Oryzias latipes: one gene and its partner. The main gene of each other region encodes a partner of the protein of the gene in region 2 in a complex. Links are inferred from orthologs where the notes say so. Each region holds a gene or a part of one and is shown on either strand. Other genes may lie near its edges.

Evidence for each region. Proteins that work in one complex are often made in the same cells at the same time.
Region 1: the proteins of smc2 (region 2) and ncapd3 are in contact, whole or in part, in a cryo-EM structure (PDB 9F5W), measured with the Homo sapiens proteins. The link is inferred for Oryzias latipes from reciprocal best matches to the Homo sapiens genes SMC2 and NCAPD3. Residues at the interface, in NP_001036015.1 of Homo sapiens: Arg112, Ala122, Asn123, Asn124, Thr125, Arg126, Leu218, Lys222, Arg225, His229, Trp940, Asn942, Ala943, Glu944, Phe948, Arg981, Met985, Arg986; in NP_056076.1 of Homo sapiens: Asp31, Met72, Ile80, Pro127, Gly128, Ala131, Phe135, Pro137, Asp141, Lys235, Gln237, Gln240, Leu1121, Asn1196, Asn1200, Pro1203.

What each region holds. Positions count from the first base shown.
Region 1 is NC_019873.2:3,916,831-3,923,033, forward strand, and holds part of ncapd3 (condensin-2 complex subunit D3), read left to right. Parts: intron 1-554; coding exon 555-717; intron 718-826; coding exon 827-993; intron 994-3,092; coding exon 3,093-3,266; intron 3,267-3,343; coding exon 3,344-3,405; intron 3,406-3,482; coding exon 3,483-3,570; intron 3,571-4,949; coding exon 4,950-5,083; intron 5,084-6,203.
Region 2 is NC_019859.2:11,203,338-11,210,207, reverse strand, and holds the start of smc2 (structural maintenance of chromosomes protein 2), read right to left. Parts: upstream 3,991-6,870; 5' UTR 3,832-3,990; coding exon 3,664-3,831; intron 3,557-3,663; coding exon 3,407-3,556; intron 3,325-3,406; coding exon 3,202-3,324; intron 3,104-3,201; coding exon 3,065-3,103; intron 2,989-3,064; coding exon 2,878-2,988; intron 2,790-2,877; coding exon 2,745-2,789; intron 2,659-2,744; coding exon 2,425-2,658; intron 2,346-2,424; coding exon 2,196-2,345; intron 2,113-2,195; coding exon 1,879-2,112; intron 1,770-1,878; coding exon 1,610-1,769; intron 1,524-1,609; coding exon 1,406-1,523; intron 829-1,405; coding exon 690-828; intron 599-689; coding exon 479-598; intron 360-478; coding exon 155-359; intron 76-154; coding exon 1-75. UniProt on the Homo sapiens protein: Central component of the condensin complex, a complex required for conversion of interphase chromatin into mitotic-like condense chromosomes.

The DNA.
Region 1 (6,203 bases), on a different chromosome or scaffold from region 2:
GTTTTTATTATTTTGTTCTTAATCATTTTTAAACTGAACTTCAAAATGTTCACGTTATTTAAGTCTTAAATTAAATTTGTCCTTCAATCCAGTCATTATTAAACCAGTTCTTATTTTATAAAGATGATTTGGAGCAAACACTGGAATCTCTGACTGTATTTCCTTTGTTCTCCAACACAAACCTTGAAAGCAGAAGGAAACTGAAATAGATGACTTTATTAATCCCACATTGGGGAAATCTCATTTATCTGTGGCAGCAAAAACGACATTCAGAATGAATCTATATAATATAACATCAAAAAAGGACATCAAAACTGACATTCATATTAAATTATTAAAAAAATATTTTTAAAATTATTAATACAATTATTATGAAAATTATCAAAAATAAGATTTGTATTAAATAAATATAAAATAAATAAATACAGCTGCAAAAGTTTAAAAAACATGTGGTCAACTGTAAAAAACATGTAAAAAAAAAAAAGTGGCACATTTGATTCTCCTGAAATTCTGATGGAAAATATTTAACCAAAAACTCCACTCTTCTTCTGCAGAACTTTTGGGGCATTTTTAGGGAGAATGGGGTATCAATCAAGGCCTTGGTGGCTGTGCTTTCTTTCTATGTGTTGGGGGCTAAAGCCAGAGCTGCCAACACACAGAACAGAGTGGGTGGACTGTATGCTGCCTCACTCTACCTGCTGCTATTGAAAATCCCAGGTAAGGGAACCTTAAGGTTTCTTCAAATGCAGCATAACTCTGTGGTTAAAAGCATATTTTAACTGAGACTTGGTCCTGTTGTTTATTTGTTATTATTTTTTGCTTAAAGGAAGCATTGCCAACCAAGTCTTTCATGAAGTTTTGTTGGACACCTGCTCTGACCTGACCTCACACTGCTGGCCTCAAGACTCTGGAAAAAAGCGCAAAAAGGATGGGATGAAAAATCCTCAAGGCGAGGGGAAACGAGCCAAAGCCCAGAAGAAAAAGCCTCCACAGGTACAGAGCCCCTTCAGGACAGTAGAGACAACGACATTAGTACTGAAGAAACCTTTTACTTTGGCCTGTTTGTGTATTGATGACAAAAATGCTGTGGATGTGAGATTCTGTATGCAACCTTTAACCTCTGAAGACCTGGCGTTCACATGTGTGGACATCACATTTTGGGTTATATTACTACAGTCATCTATTGACAGTAGGTTATTTATTATTTAATGAAGGCCCTGTTACCGCATGTGTAGAGAGTTAACTCAAACATTATCTCTAATCTTCAGAAGTTATTACAAAAGTTTAGGTTTAGAAACAAAAGACACCTCCAGTGTTTAATGCAAACTAATACAATATAAATGAGGTTGGATCAAAAAGGTAAATCAAGAAAACAGCGTTAAAAGACAGCTCCGCCTCAGTGACAAAAGGCTGGTTCCGCTTCAATGAGAAGACATAAAAAGGATGGCTCCGCCCCATCACAAATGTCTAGACTCGTATTACAGGGGGGTCAAACTCAGTCGCACAGGGGCCTAAATTAAAAACATGCTTTAGGTTTTGGGCTGAACAAGATAAACATTTACTGATCACAAAAAGCTAAACTTTTAAACCTTTAAAACATTTAATACTGAAAAATGAACTTTTTGAACATAAATATGAATAAAAACATGAACTCTAATCCAGAATAACTCAAGTTAAAGCTTAAATAACGTATAATATTTTGCTCTCCATCAAAATGTATTCTGTACAAATTATACAAATATGGAGATGCCGCAGAAACAAAACAAACAAAGCCTGAAAATATTAATAATAAGAAATAAAAAATCATGTCTTTCCATTTTCTTTGCTCTTTTATCATTTGTTAGAGTTGGACTTCTGCATCATTTTTAGCAATACTTTCTTGGTGTGCGACGTCCTGTGTGTCTTTGTAAAACAATTCGAAGCGATTGGATCTAAAAAAACAAACAAACGTATTGTGAATATCATTTTTGGGTTTTATAAAACATTACAAACTAAATCATAGAACTCATCAGTGGGATTACTCCAAAAATATTTGGCATTTCCCTAATTTTGTCCAACACTAACAATAGAAATCCTCCAAAAAACCTCCATCCATTCATAAAAAAATGATCTATAGTTTATTTATGATCTCATAAAGTGCAGCTGTTTTTCTGCATTACCTGCTGTCTTTGTCAAATACTGACACCAACTAAACAACAGAAAAGACGCGTAATAACAATATCTACAATAGTTGGTAAATAATGACATTATCAAAATGTAGGCTGCGCTCCTCACAGATGCGCCCACCACCCTTCCCCTCCCCTCCCGTTCTTTCTGACGTACGCGGCTCCGTCTCTATGGCGGGAGCGCGCAGCTGTGGCCTAGAGTTGATTTTTAGACTGAAAGACTCCCAGTTACCTGATAGCGTGATTCATCCAGCCACCGGTGAATTGCTCCCCCCTCTCGAATTTTTTGACTTGGTATGTTCCATAGTCTATCTCAAAGAGGCGTGGGCCGCAAGTGTCTTGCAGCAGAGGGCGGTGGTCACGTGCACGTTAGGTCCGCTGTGTCGGAGCGGGGAATTGTGGGAAATAATCCCCATTGCCTGCTTTGGTCGAAATTGGGTTGAGCACGGGTTTTTCTTCTGCCTGAGTGCCTTTTCATGTGGCTGTTTTACGTTGTTTCACTCTTAGTTATTTCATCTTTTTATTTATTTTATTTTATTTTTTGCACCATAAGTGTGGAGATGGGAGTGGATGAAGATATGGGTGTGATGTTAAGTGTCTGATGTGTCAAAATAAAAGCGCTAAGTGCCGACTGTAGCAGGCATGTAAAAATAAAAGCCAGAGTCTCCTCTTTGACGTAGCTATTTCCCTATGTGTTACACTGTCGGCACAGAAAATGCTGCCCCATATGATGTGCCGCCCTGGGCCACCGCCCACCTCGCCCATATCAAAAACCGCCACTGGTCAGTGGTGGGACTTCTCACATTTTACGCAATATGTTGTGATGTTTAGAAAGAAAAATGACCTAAATGATTATATAGCTGATGTATTGCATTTTGGACAGGTCTTTGTAATGTTTCATTTATCGAAAAGATTTTTTGTTGTTAGATGGAAATGGATGAAGCTGAGGAACAGGACGAGGAGGAGGAGGATATTTATTTCTCAAACGAAGATCTGATGAAGATCAGAGAAGCAGCCGTTTTTCTGGTCCACAGCCTTCTGAGGCTCCTCCAAACATTTCCACTCAAAGACCGGCCAGAAACCGCCAGCAGCTTCACGCAGGTAATTCTGGTCCCCACCCCCCCGGTTCTTCAGACCACACAGCAGCGTGAGTAGATCAAATCCTCTGGTCTTTGCAGATCTTCTGTAAGCTGCTTCACATTGAACCTGTCCTTGGTGAGATTACCTTTGCTGCTCCACGGTGAGTTTTCTTACGCCACTCTCTGATATGTGGAAGAAATGATCCATGAAAGCAGCCTGATCTTCTTGCCTGTGCAGAGACATGACTGAAATGAGGAGCATTCCAGAGATGGCTTTCTATGGGCTTGAGCTGCTCTGCTTAGCAAAACATGGAGACCAGAAAGAAGTAAGGTCCAGTTACCTCTGTTTCTGGTCAGTTTGTAAACGCTCTGTCTGTTTAATATCTGTATTCTTTAGATAAGTTTACAGGCTTACAGGTGATCTGATTCGATTACTAAAGAAAGACCATCAATTCACAAATCAAACCACAATTATTACTATTTAATATATTGTTTGGTCACAGTCTTGTCTTGTAATTGGATATAATAAAATAAAAATCGTCATGCTTTATACCTTTTTGTTTAGGAGAGATCAGAATTAAAAAATAACTGATGAAAAGGCAAAGATTTTAAAAAGAAATATTTGCCACTTTAAACAATGTTGCACTCAAAAGGTTTTCTGTTAACTTCAGCAGCAAACGAATAAGAAACGTCACTGCTGAAAACAAAAAAAATCTTCTTCACAGTGTTTCCAACAACAGTTCAATCAAATTGGAACAATAGAAAACGCTGTCCTTAAACTGACAACAGTTTTTCCAACAGACAGATTCTATAAACTCACTGGGGGGGCTGGCATTGACATTGTGTGGGTTTTTAAATAAAATATTAGTAATTTCCCACAGTACACCTGACCATCCCCCGCAGCACACTGGTTACAAAACACTGGTCTACTTAACCCTTGTGCTATCCTAGGCACTTTAACATTGGGAGTTGGGTCATCTAGACCCACTAGACAGTGCTCTGAACCTTTTTTCTTCAATGATTTGTGATCTTCACTGGTGTCCATGGATTACATGAAATCTTTCCACCTTTATCCACCTTTGTCATGGTAGGGAGAACACGTCAATGGAAGGGGGGGGTCATCTAAGATAGCACAAGGGTTAAGTGGGATTTAGCATGTTTTGTGTTTCTACGATAAAACTGTGAGGCCAAGTTTTCAGAAGCAGATGTTTTCCAGAAACTCTCCTTCCTAACTTAACACAGACAGGCATTCAGCCTCGCATAGAAAACGGTCTTAAATGAATCAATCAAATCAAAAAACCTTTTTGGGAAAGAGGGGTGATTAACCACGTCACTAGTGAGGACACGTCATTGCAAAAAAGATTTGTTAATCATAAATGGCGTAATGTCTGATGTTGATGAGAATGAATGAAAAAACGAGGTTTTGTGTTGCAAAATTGTACATCATAAATGATACATAACAGAAAGAAAGGTTTCAGTTTAATGCAGTAAACATCAGAGGAGCTGCAGATGTGTAATCTTATGTTTGCAATGAGGGTTTTTGTGTTTCCTACCAAAAATGCTAACCTTTGTTCTCCTTTTATTCTTACAAAATTTGGTGAATGCAATTTAAATAATTTGTGGTATCCTGACTTCATGTTAAAATGGAAGTTGTGGCATATTTAGGGCATGGATTGATCATGATAACACAATGTTCTTTGTGTAGTCTTTGCGCAGCGTCTTCCATCAGCTGCTCTATGCCATACTGATGATGAATAAAGAGAGTCGAGGGAAACCGGTCCTCCGTGTTCTCAGTCGGAGTGTTTTGGCAATCAGGGATTATGCCATTCAGTTTGTAAGGTGAGAGGTTTGAATTTTTGCTTTGTCTTTGCTTTTAGTATGGTTGGTGTGTGCGCGTGTGACTGGTGGGTAGGACATGGGGTTCCTGGAATAGTTGCAGTAGTATTGGAATTGTTTTATTTACCAAGTGTTTCTTAAATGTTAGAGTAAAATAAATCTATTTAAAGTGATGTCATCTGATGTCCATTAGTTATACTCTTGTTTTTTTACATTCAAGCAACAGTCCTGTAAATCTGAACCTTCATTCTGAAATATATTCCTATGACCACTAGAGGGCAGCGTCTCAATGAAAAAACGTCAGTTTTCTTAAGGAAATTCTTTCAGATGTGAAACATTTTTTACACCAGATCTTTACCACAATCAACTCAACAGCTCAATTGAAACCCTAAACTATTAGACACAGTTTGACTTCATTATTTTTATCTCCTAGAATGCATTTTTCCCTTCCTCCTTGGCAATGTTTTATTTTCCTTCTCTCACGCTTTCTTTCTAGGCCATTGACTGTATAAGAGAACTGGACTGAGTGACCCCCCCCCCCCTCCCCCTAGCATTCCAAACAGGAAGTACCTGCTGGCTTCAAGAAACCAAAATCCCATAGACTTCTATAGAGAAATAAACTGCTTTTACTCCGGTTATTCTAACTTTCTTGGTCTGATACTTTTTTTAAGCATATTTTTGGATTTTTTGTTTTCTGTTTTGCAAGTCTGAATGAGTATAAACTGACCAGTCAGATACTTCAATAAAAGTAAGTTGACAGATTCTCCCGCTTTCACGTGGTAGGGGTGTGGCCCTCCAACAAGTTCACTCCTGATTGGAGAGGGTGGTCACCATAGAACACGGACTCAGTCCGACTTGGATGTTGTCTGGTTCCAATGAGGTGGCATCCAAGAAATGGCAAATGAATTGACTTGGTTTGGTTGGAGCCAGAAGTAAACCATTTTCAATGAGTGACGTCACACTAGTTTCAGTCCAGTTCTCACATATAGTCAGTGTGCTAGCCTAATGCTCATCTGTTTATTTATACCCGTATCTATGCATCCATTCCCTCTATCTGTTTCTCCTGTTTTCATAGCTCTTTTGTATTTTCCATCCATCTTCTATATGCACCGTTCAGGGTCAC
Region 2 (6,870 bases):
TATCGCTCAGGCTGTCCTGAACATCTTTTACTTCCTGCAGGCTCGACAAAATCGATGCCGACTGCGAGCGAGCGCCTGGAAAGAAAAAAAGAGGAGCCAAGTATTGAAACTGATTTGATTTTCCAAGGAAACAGGAGTCGAGCGTTGATCTCACCTCCACTCAAAGTTCCCTGCGGGTCAAAGATGTCTCCCCCAAGCGTAACAGTCTTGGTCATCACCTGTTTGTCAAACGCCACTTTCTTTGCGTTGTCCAAAGTGTCACAGACCAGCGTGGAGCCGAACACATACTCCATGGCTTTACGAAGGTCAGACTCGTATCCCACCAGGGACAGAGCTGTGTGAACGTTGTCCTCCCCGACCTCACAGAACAAAGACAAAATCACGGAAAATTACCTACGAGAAAACCTAATGAATGAGATGTGATTCCTTTTATACACAAGAAAAAGTCGGAGACTATGAAAGCACAGAGTTTTCTCACCAGGCGCTTCGCGGTGTGGATCACTTTGTCGTTGAGAGTTTTGGCAGATATCTTGTTGAGAGGAATGATGGTGTACCTGCGCTGTAGCTCTCCTTTCTCCAGCAGCTTCTTACCAGTCACCTAAGAAGGAAGGATTCAATCATTTAGTCACAAAGATTCTGTTTATTCACCTGTGAAATAAATTTAAAAAAAAAACTTTCAAAAGGTCTACCTCTGTGTCTACAACAATGTTGTAGAGCCGTCCACCTGCAACTACCTCCAGTGCCGTGGCATAGGAAACATCACTGACACTTATGAGATTAGCTAGAAGGCCCTTCACTTTGCTTCGGTCCCAGCCTCTCTCCGGATCTCTGGGAGACAGCAGAATTTATTACAACAGAAAAGAAGAAAAATGCAAACTGAAGAAAAGAAAAATGACTCAAATAAAACATCGTCAAGAGGAAGAAAAAAAACTCAATTCATGGTGGACAAGATAAGAAATTAAAGTTCTATTTCTTAATCAAATCTTTAGATTAGATAGTTCATAGAGATGAAAGAAACAGCAGAATCAATCATTTGTCCACACTTAAAACTTCAAATCAAAATAGTTCCTGTTTATGTTTAAGCTGTAAAATCTTGTAAACTGTTAAACTATTTGGAATTAGCTGTTAATGAATTTATGGATCAATTTTGCCCCACTCCAAAAACCATTATGTTGCTGCAAATGAAAATATGAACAAAATTAAAATCACTACATATGAAATAATTCACTAACTGCAGGCATTTTACTTTTCCAGTCAATAAACTAAACACATCTGCCACCTGGTTTATTTATAGATTTTGAATAAGAATGTTAAACGAAATCTTACGTGTCTGGGCTTATACGCTGTTATGTAAATTAAAATGTACATTTAAAGGCATGATACTCAAACAGATAGAAGCGTTTACTTGTATTCAAAGCGCAGGCTGGGAAAACGAGACATGAGTCGGTCAAAGGTCTCCTTAAGTTGAGCGACTTCTCTGGAAAGCTGTCTTCGTTTTTCCATCAGGCTTTCTTCTTTTCCATCTGCAGCAGCACAAACACAAGTTGAGTCACTAAACAGGCAAAAGCTTTTACAACATTCGTCTTTTATTTTCAGGAGAATGCTGCACCTTCATAGTTGAGTTTGGCCAGCTCCGCCTCCAGTTTCTCTCGGCTGCTTTTGACGGCCTTAAAGGTGTCCTGATCTTTCTTGTAGCCGCTGTCCATCTTCTTCATCTCCGCTTGTTTGGTCTTCAGCTCTGCCTGGGCATGCTTCAGGGTCATTTGGGCCTGTGCAAAGATGGAAATGGTTGGGTTTCGGATCAAATAATTCAACGGAGAAGCAGCAGGTGTGCAGGACGTCAAGCCACTGCACATCAAAAGTGTCTCTTTTCTCCACCTGCTTGGCCTCTGTGTCTGCTTTGCTCATCTCGTTCTTGCAGGCCATCATCTGCCCAGCTAAAGTGGCTTCCTCGCCGTCCTCGTTGGTAGAAAGACCCGCCGACACAGCTTTGAAATGCTGCTCAGCTGCCTCAAGTTCAGCTGTGTTTTTCTGTCCTTCCACCTGCAGTGCCTGAAGCTGTTCGGACAACTTGCTCACTTCTTTTTCCTTCACCACGAGCACTTTCTTGTCCTAAAAAGAATGACCGAGACCAATAAGCTTGATAAAGTAAAAATCTTGCAGCCACCAATGAGAAGCACAAATGAATCCATTACCTCCTCCATGCTCTTCACGAGCTCTTTCCTCTTTTTGGTTTCATCTTTCAGATTCTGCTTTTTTAAGTCGAGACTGCTCTGAGCTTTGGCATCCTCACGCTGCACACTTGCAAGAGACATCTCCAAGGTTTTTAATTCTCCGTTTACCTCCTTAAAATAAACACCAAAAGTGTGTCAGAGCCACACAAAACATACAAATATTTTTTTTCTTTTATTTCTCTTTCAGTACCTGGTCATTTTTCTTCTGAAGCTCTTGAATCTGAGCAGAAAGCTCCTGGATTTTGCTCTCATTCTCTGAAACTTTGGCCTGCATCTTGACAATGTTGCCTTGCATCACCTTCAGATTTTCAGCCGACTTGACTTTAGTCTCCTCGGCACACACAAACAGCCAGGCCACATAAAGTCGTGACAAGTGCTGGATCTCACGCATCAGCTTCTGGTACTCCAAATAGGAGGATCTTTCCTGTGCATCAAAGAACATTTAAAGCATATCCTTAAATCATTACACAAATGTTGAAATAAAAAATAAATAAAAAACATTTAGCTCACCTCTTGCAGCTTTTGCATAGTTGGAGTAATCTCTTCATCCAAAATCTAAACGTCAGGAAACATAGAACAAAGTTTGCAGCTGCTTGTTTCCCCAAAAACCACAAGAAACTTGAATAACAGATGGTAGACATACAGTCTGAATCTCTCTCAGCTTGGCCTCTTTCTTCTCAATTGTTCTCTGTGCACTGATCTTTTTACATTCGTACATTCTGGTGCCTGCTGCCTCCTCAATCATAGCAAGAATCTAGAGACAAATAGTATATTAGTACTAACAAAAGTGTTTCTATTATACTTTTTTTTTCATCAAACAAAGTACATACCTCTGGTGGTTTCATATTCAAAACCTTGGTTATTCTTCCCTAAATAAGTAAAAAAAAAAAAAAGACCCCAAAGGTCAAACGAATGATTTTGTTTAGCAATTTCTGAAAACTCTCAATGTTTAAGATGCAAAGCTGACCTGCATGATGAGGAAATGAGGGTTGTTAACGTTGAGGCCAACAGAGCAGAACAAGTCCTGCACCCTGGTGTTGTTGGCATTGACCCCATTGATCAGATATTTGTTCCTGCCTCCTATGACAACCTTTATGAAGAAAACGTTTGTGATCAAGTTTTAAAAAATGCTTTATAAATTGGGATATTAAATAATTGTGTACTTTCCTGACCTGTCTGGTTACAGTGATCTCATCGTGGGTTTCAAACCCCAGAGGGCTCTGGCTCTTATTGGAGTTGTCAAAAGTAATAGACACAGTGGCCTTGGTGATGCCACCCTGGCCGTTCTTGTAAACCAAGTCCTGAAGGTTTGAAGCTCGAACCTTTTAAATAAAATAGAACAGAATTACTGTTTTTTTTGCTATTAAAAGAAGGCAAAGCTGCTTTTTTTTTTACTTTAATCAATGGAAACATGCGGAAACGTCCTTACGTGTGAGAGGTTGGAAATCCCCAAAAGGAAACATATCGAGTCCAAGATGTTGGACTTGCCACTGCCGTTCAGTCCCGTGATGGCATTGAATAGCGGGTCGAAGCCGTTAATTTCTGTCCTCTGTGCGTAAGATTTAAATCCTTCGATAATTATTGATTTAATGTACATCGTTACTTATCTTGTCTTGCCGAAACAAACGCCACAGAAAATATCCGTTTCAGCGACAAGTCAGTTAAAAGAAAAATGCGGCGAGCAAAGCAACAGCCCAATGTTTATATCAAACCAAAAGACTGTCGTCTAACTTGAATTTTGGCGGTAAACACACACTAAGAAAACTTTCGGTCGACAGTAGGCCATTCATCATGCCGGAGTCAAAACAAAAAAATCCATATGTAATATAATTTGACAGAAAATTGAAAGAAAATAAACATAAAAGACTTGGTCCGTAATTTGCTATAATTTATTCAGACCAGTTCAATTATGTTTATTTAAACGTTTTGTCAATGCATTTTGTAGGCATATACCGGGGCAGCTAAATCCCTAAACCATCGGGTGATTGGCGCACACTGTACTTTTTTAAAAATACTTTATTGTTTAACACATGTAGAACAAGTATGCAGGACAACAACATTAGCCATAACAGTGAGAATGCCACAGGATTATGAACAGTATAGGACTCCATAATACTTAAGGTTAAATTCTTTATATCTGAGTTTTATTGTCCATTGTGGTTAAAAAGCTGACCCACCAGTAGGATATCTTTATTAAAACAATTATTGTAAAATAATGATTTGTTCTTGTAAAGTATATACGCTATTCCAAACAAAAGAGTTATGAGGGGAAAATTTGTGAGTAAGTGCCCATGAAAGAAGAATCTGTCTGTGAAAAGCAGAGTTTAACTGGGATTTTGTCAATATTATAATGACAAAGGAGAAAAAAATGGAGACCATGTGTTAGCAAAAATGTGATGAGGGAAAATATTCCAGATGGAAAGTGGAATTTTTAAATATGATTTAATCAAGTTTATTTTAAAGTATTATTTAAAGAAGTAAAATTTAAGAAAATTTAAGCCTCCTTTTTTATAGTTCATTAATACAGATTTTTTTTAAATAAATATGATTTTTCCAGATGAAATTTAACAACATTTGGGCAATAGATTTAAGAGTCTGATTGTCCAAGTGTAGAGACAAAGCAAAATAAGTAAGTTGAGAAATCCCTTCTGCTTTTGAGAGTAGAATCTTCTTTCTCAAACTCAACTCTCTTTGAAGCCGTTGGTTAAAACGTTTTGGGAACGAAGTTTTTTTTTTTTTTTTTTTTTTTTTTTTTATTGAACAATTGCAACATACAAAACAAGAAAATACAACAATTATGCACATATAATGTACAATAAAATTCTAAATACAGAACAAACATGTTGCATTCTTTAAAAAATACTAATTATTAATAATAAACACAAAAGGGAATAAGAAATAAAAAGAAACAAAAAAAAAAAAAGAGAAAAGAGAAAATGCGAGAGTAAATCTATGTCAGCGGTCCAAAAGATTTACAGATGCTAATTGTTTTTTGAGCTTTTGTATTTTTTGAAGCAGAAATTAAGTTTAAATAACGCTGCAGTTCCAGTTTGAACACAAAGAAATCCGGTTTTTTATTGGAAAATTTTCTTTTGTGTATATGAAATTTAGCGATAAATAATACCATGTTTACACAAAAGAAAGCATCACGGTCTTTGACATCAAAGCTATGAAAACCAAAAAGTATGTTTTTATAATAAAGTTGTATGTCAGCAAAAATAGAATCGGTGATAAATTTGTGAATGTTTTTCCAAAATCTGTATGTAAATTCACAAGACCAGAATAAATGAGAGCAGGTTTCAGGTTGTTTCTGGCAGAAAGTACAACTGGTGTTTATGTCAGCCTTAAATTTAGTTAAATAATGCTTTGCTGGATAAAATCTGTGTAGGAGTTTAAAAGAGATTTCTTTGACTTTATTTGTTAAGAAGTATTTTTGTGGTAAAGACCAGACTTTTTTCCAATCAATGTTAGAAGTGAAATTAGCCCAATAAAAGAACGAAGTTACTGAGCATCTTTCTAAACTATTTTTTTTAGATAATGGCGCCCCCTGTGGTAACAAAACTGATCTGAACAAAACAGAATTACCACATTTTTCTTGACAGCAGAAAAAAAAAATGAATTACTTATTCTTGACTGTAGAAATGTGTTGTATTTTTGTTTGTTTGTTTGTTTTTGTGTGTGTTCAGCTGTCTATTATTATGATTCTTGTTATTGTAATAAAATTATTAATATACAGTAATAAAGTGAGCCCTTCAAGTAGATGTTTCCTTTTTTGTAGCTTTGTAAATGGCTATTTTTGTCTAAGACAAAGCTTACATTTTTTAATTCATTGCAAACTTTCACACAAATTCCTAACCTGCATTTTATATATAAATCATATTTTTCAGACAAAAGTATTACAAGTAAACATCCTTTTTTTTAGGTCACAAATTTGTTTTGGAAATGTGTACTTTCAAAAAATAATAGAAATAATAGTTTTACATGTTTTAGGAAGTTCTAAAAGTTTACAAATTATGAAAAGAGGGTCAAATATTGTTTTCTCTGATATAATTTTCTAATTGTCTGTGTGACCCTGCAATGGACTGGCAACCTGTGCCGTGTGCACCCAGCTTCACCTGACAGTATAGGCCCCAACAACCCCATGACCTTGAAGAGGTGGGATGACTGCCACCTCAAAACTAAAAACTACACTTCAAAAACCGAATCTTAATGAAGTAAAAATATCCTCATCTAAAAAAAGGCTTTCTCCAAGAAATATTTTTGACAGCAAAATACTATTGGTTTAAAAAAACAAAGAAAAAAACTCATATTTTAAGAACTGTTGACTTATTTCAAGGGGGTGCTTTTGCAGTGTGATTGGTTTTGAGTCAAGAAAATGTAACAATATTTGTGTTTTAATTAAGTGCTTCAACTGTATTACATCATTTACACAAACCAGAGCAAAGTTACCCAGATATAGCATGTTAAATTTCTCCAAACTTCACATCATTTCTGCCAGAAATAAATGGTTCTTAAAAAGTGTTGCAATACTCTCCAACTTACACACTCTGATGAAGAAAAGTGCAGGAGATGTAAGTAGGATTTTAACAAGATAAAACAGGTTGGTCAACATCCCAGAGATCTTGAAAAGTTTTCT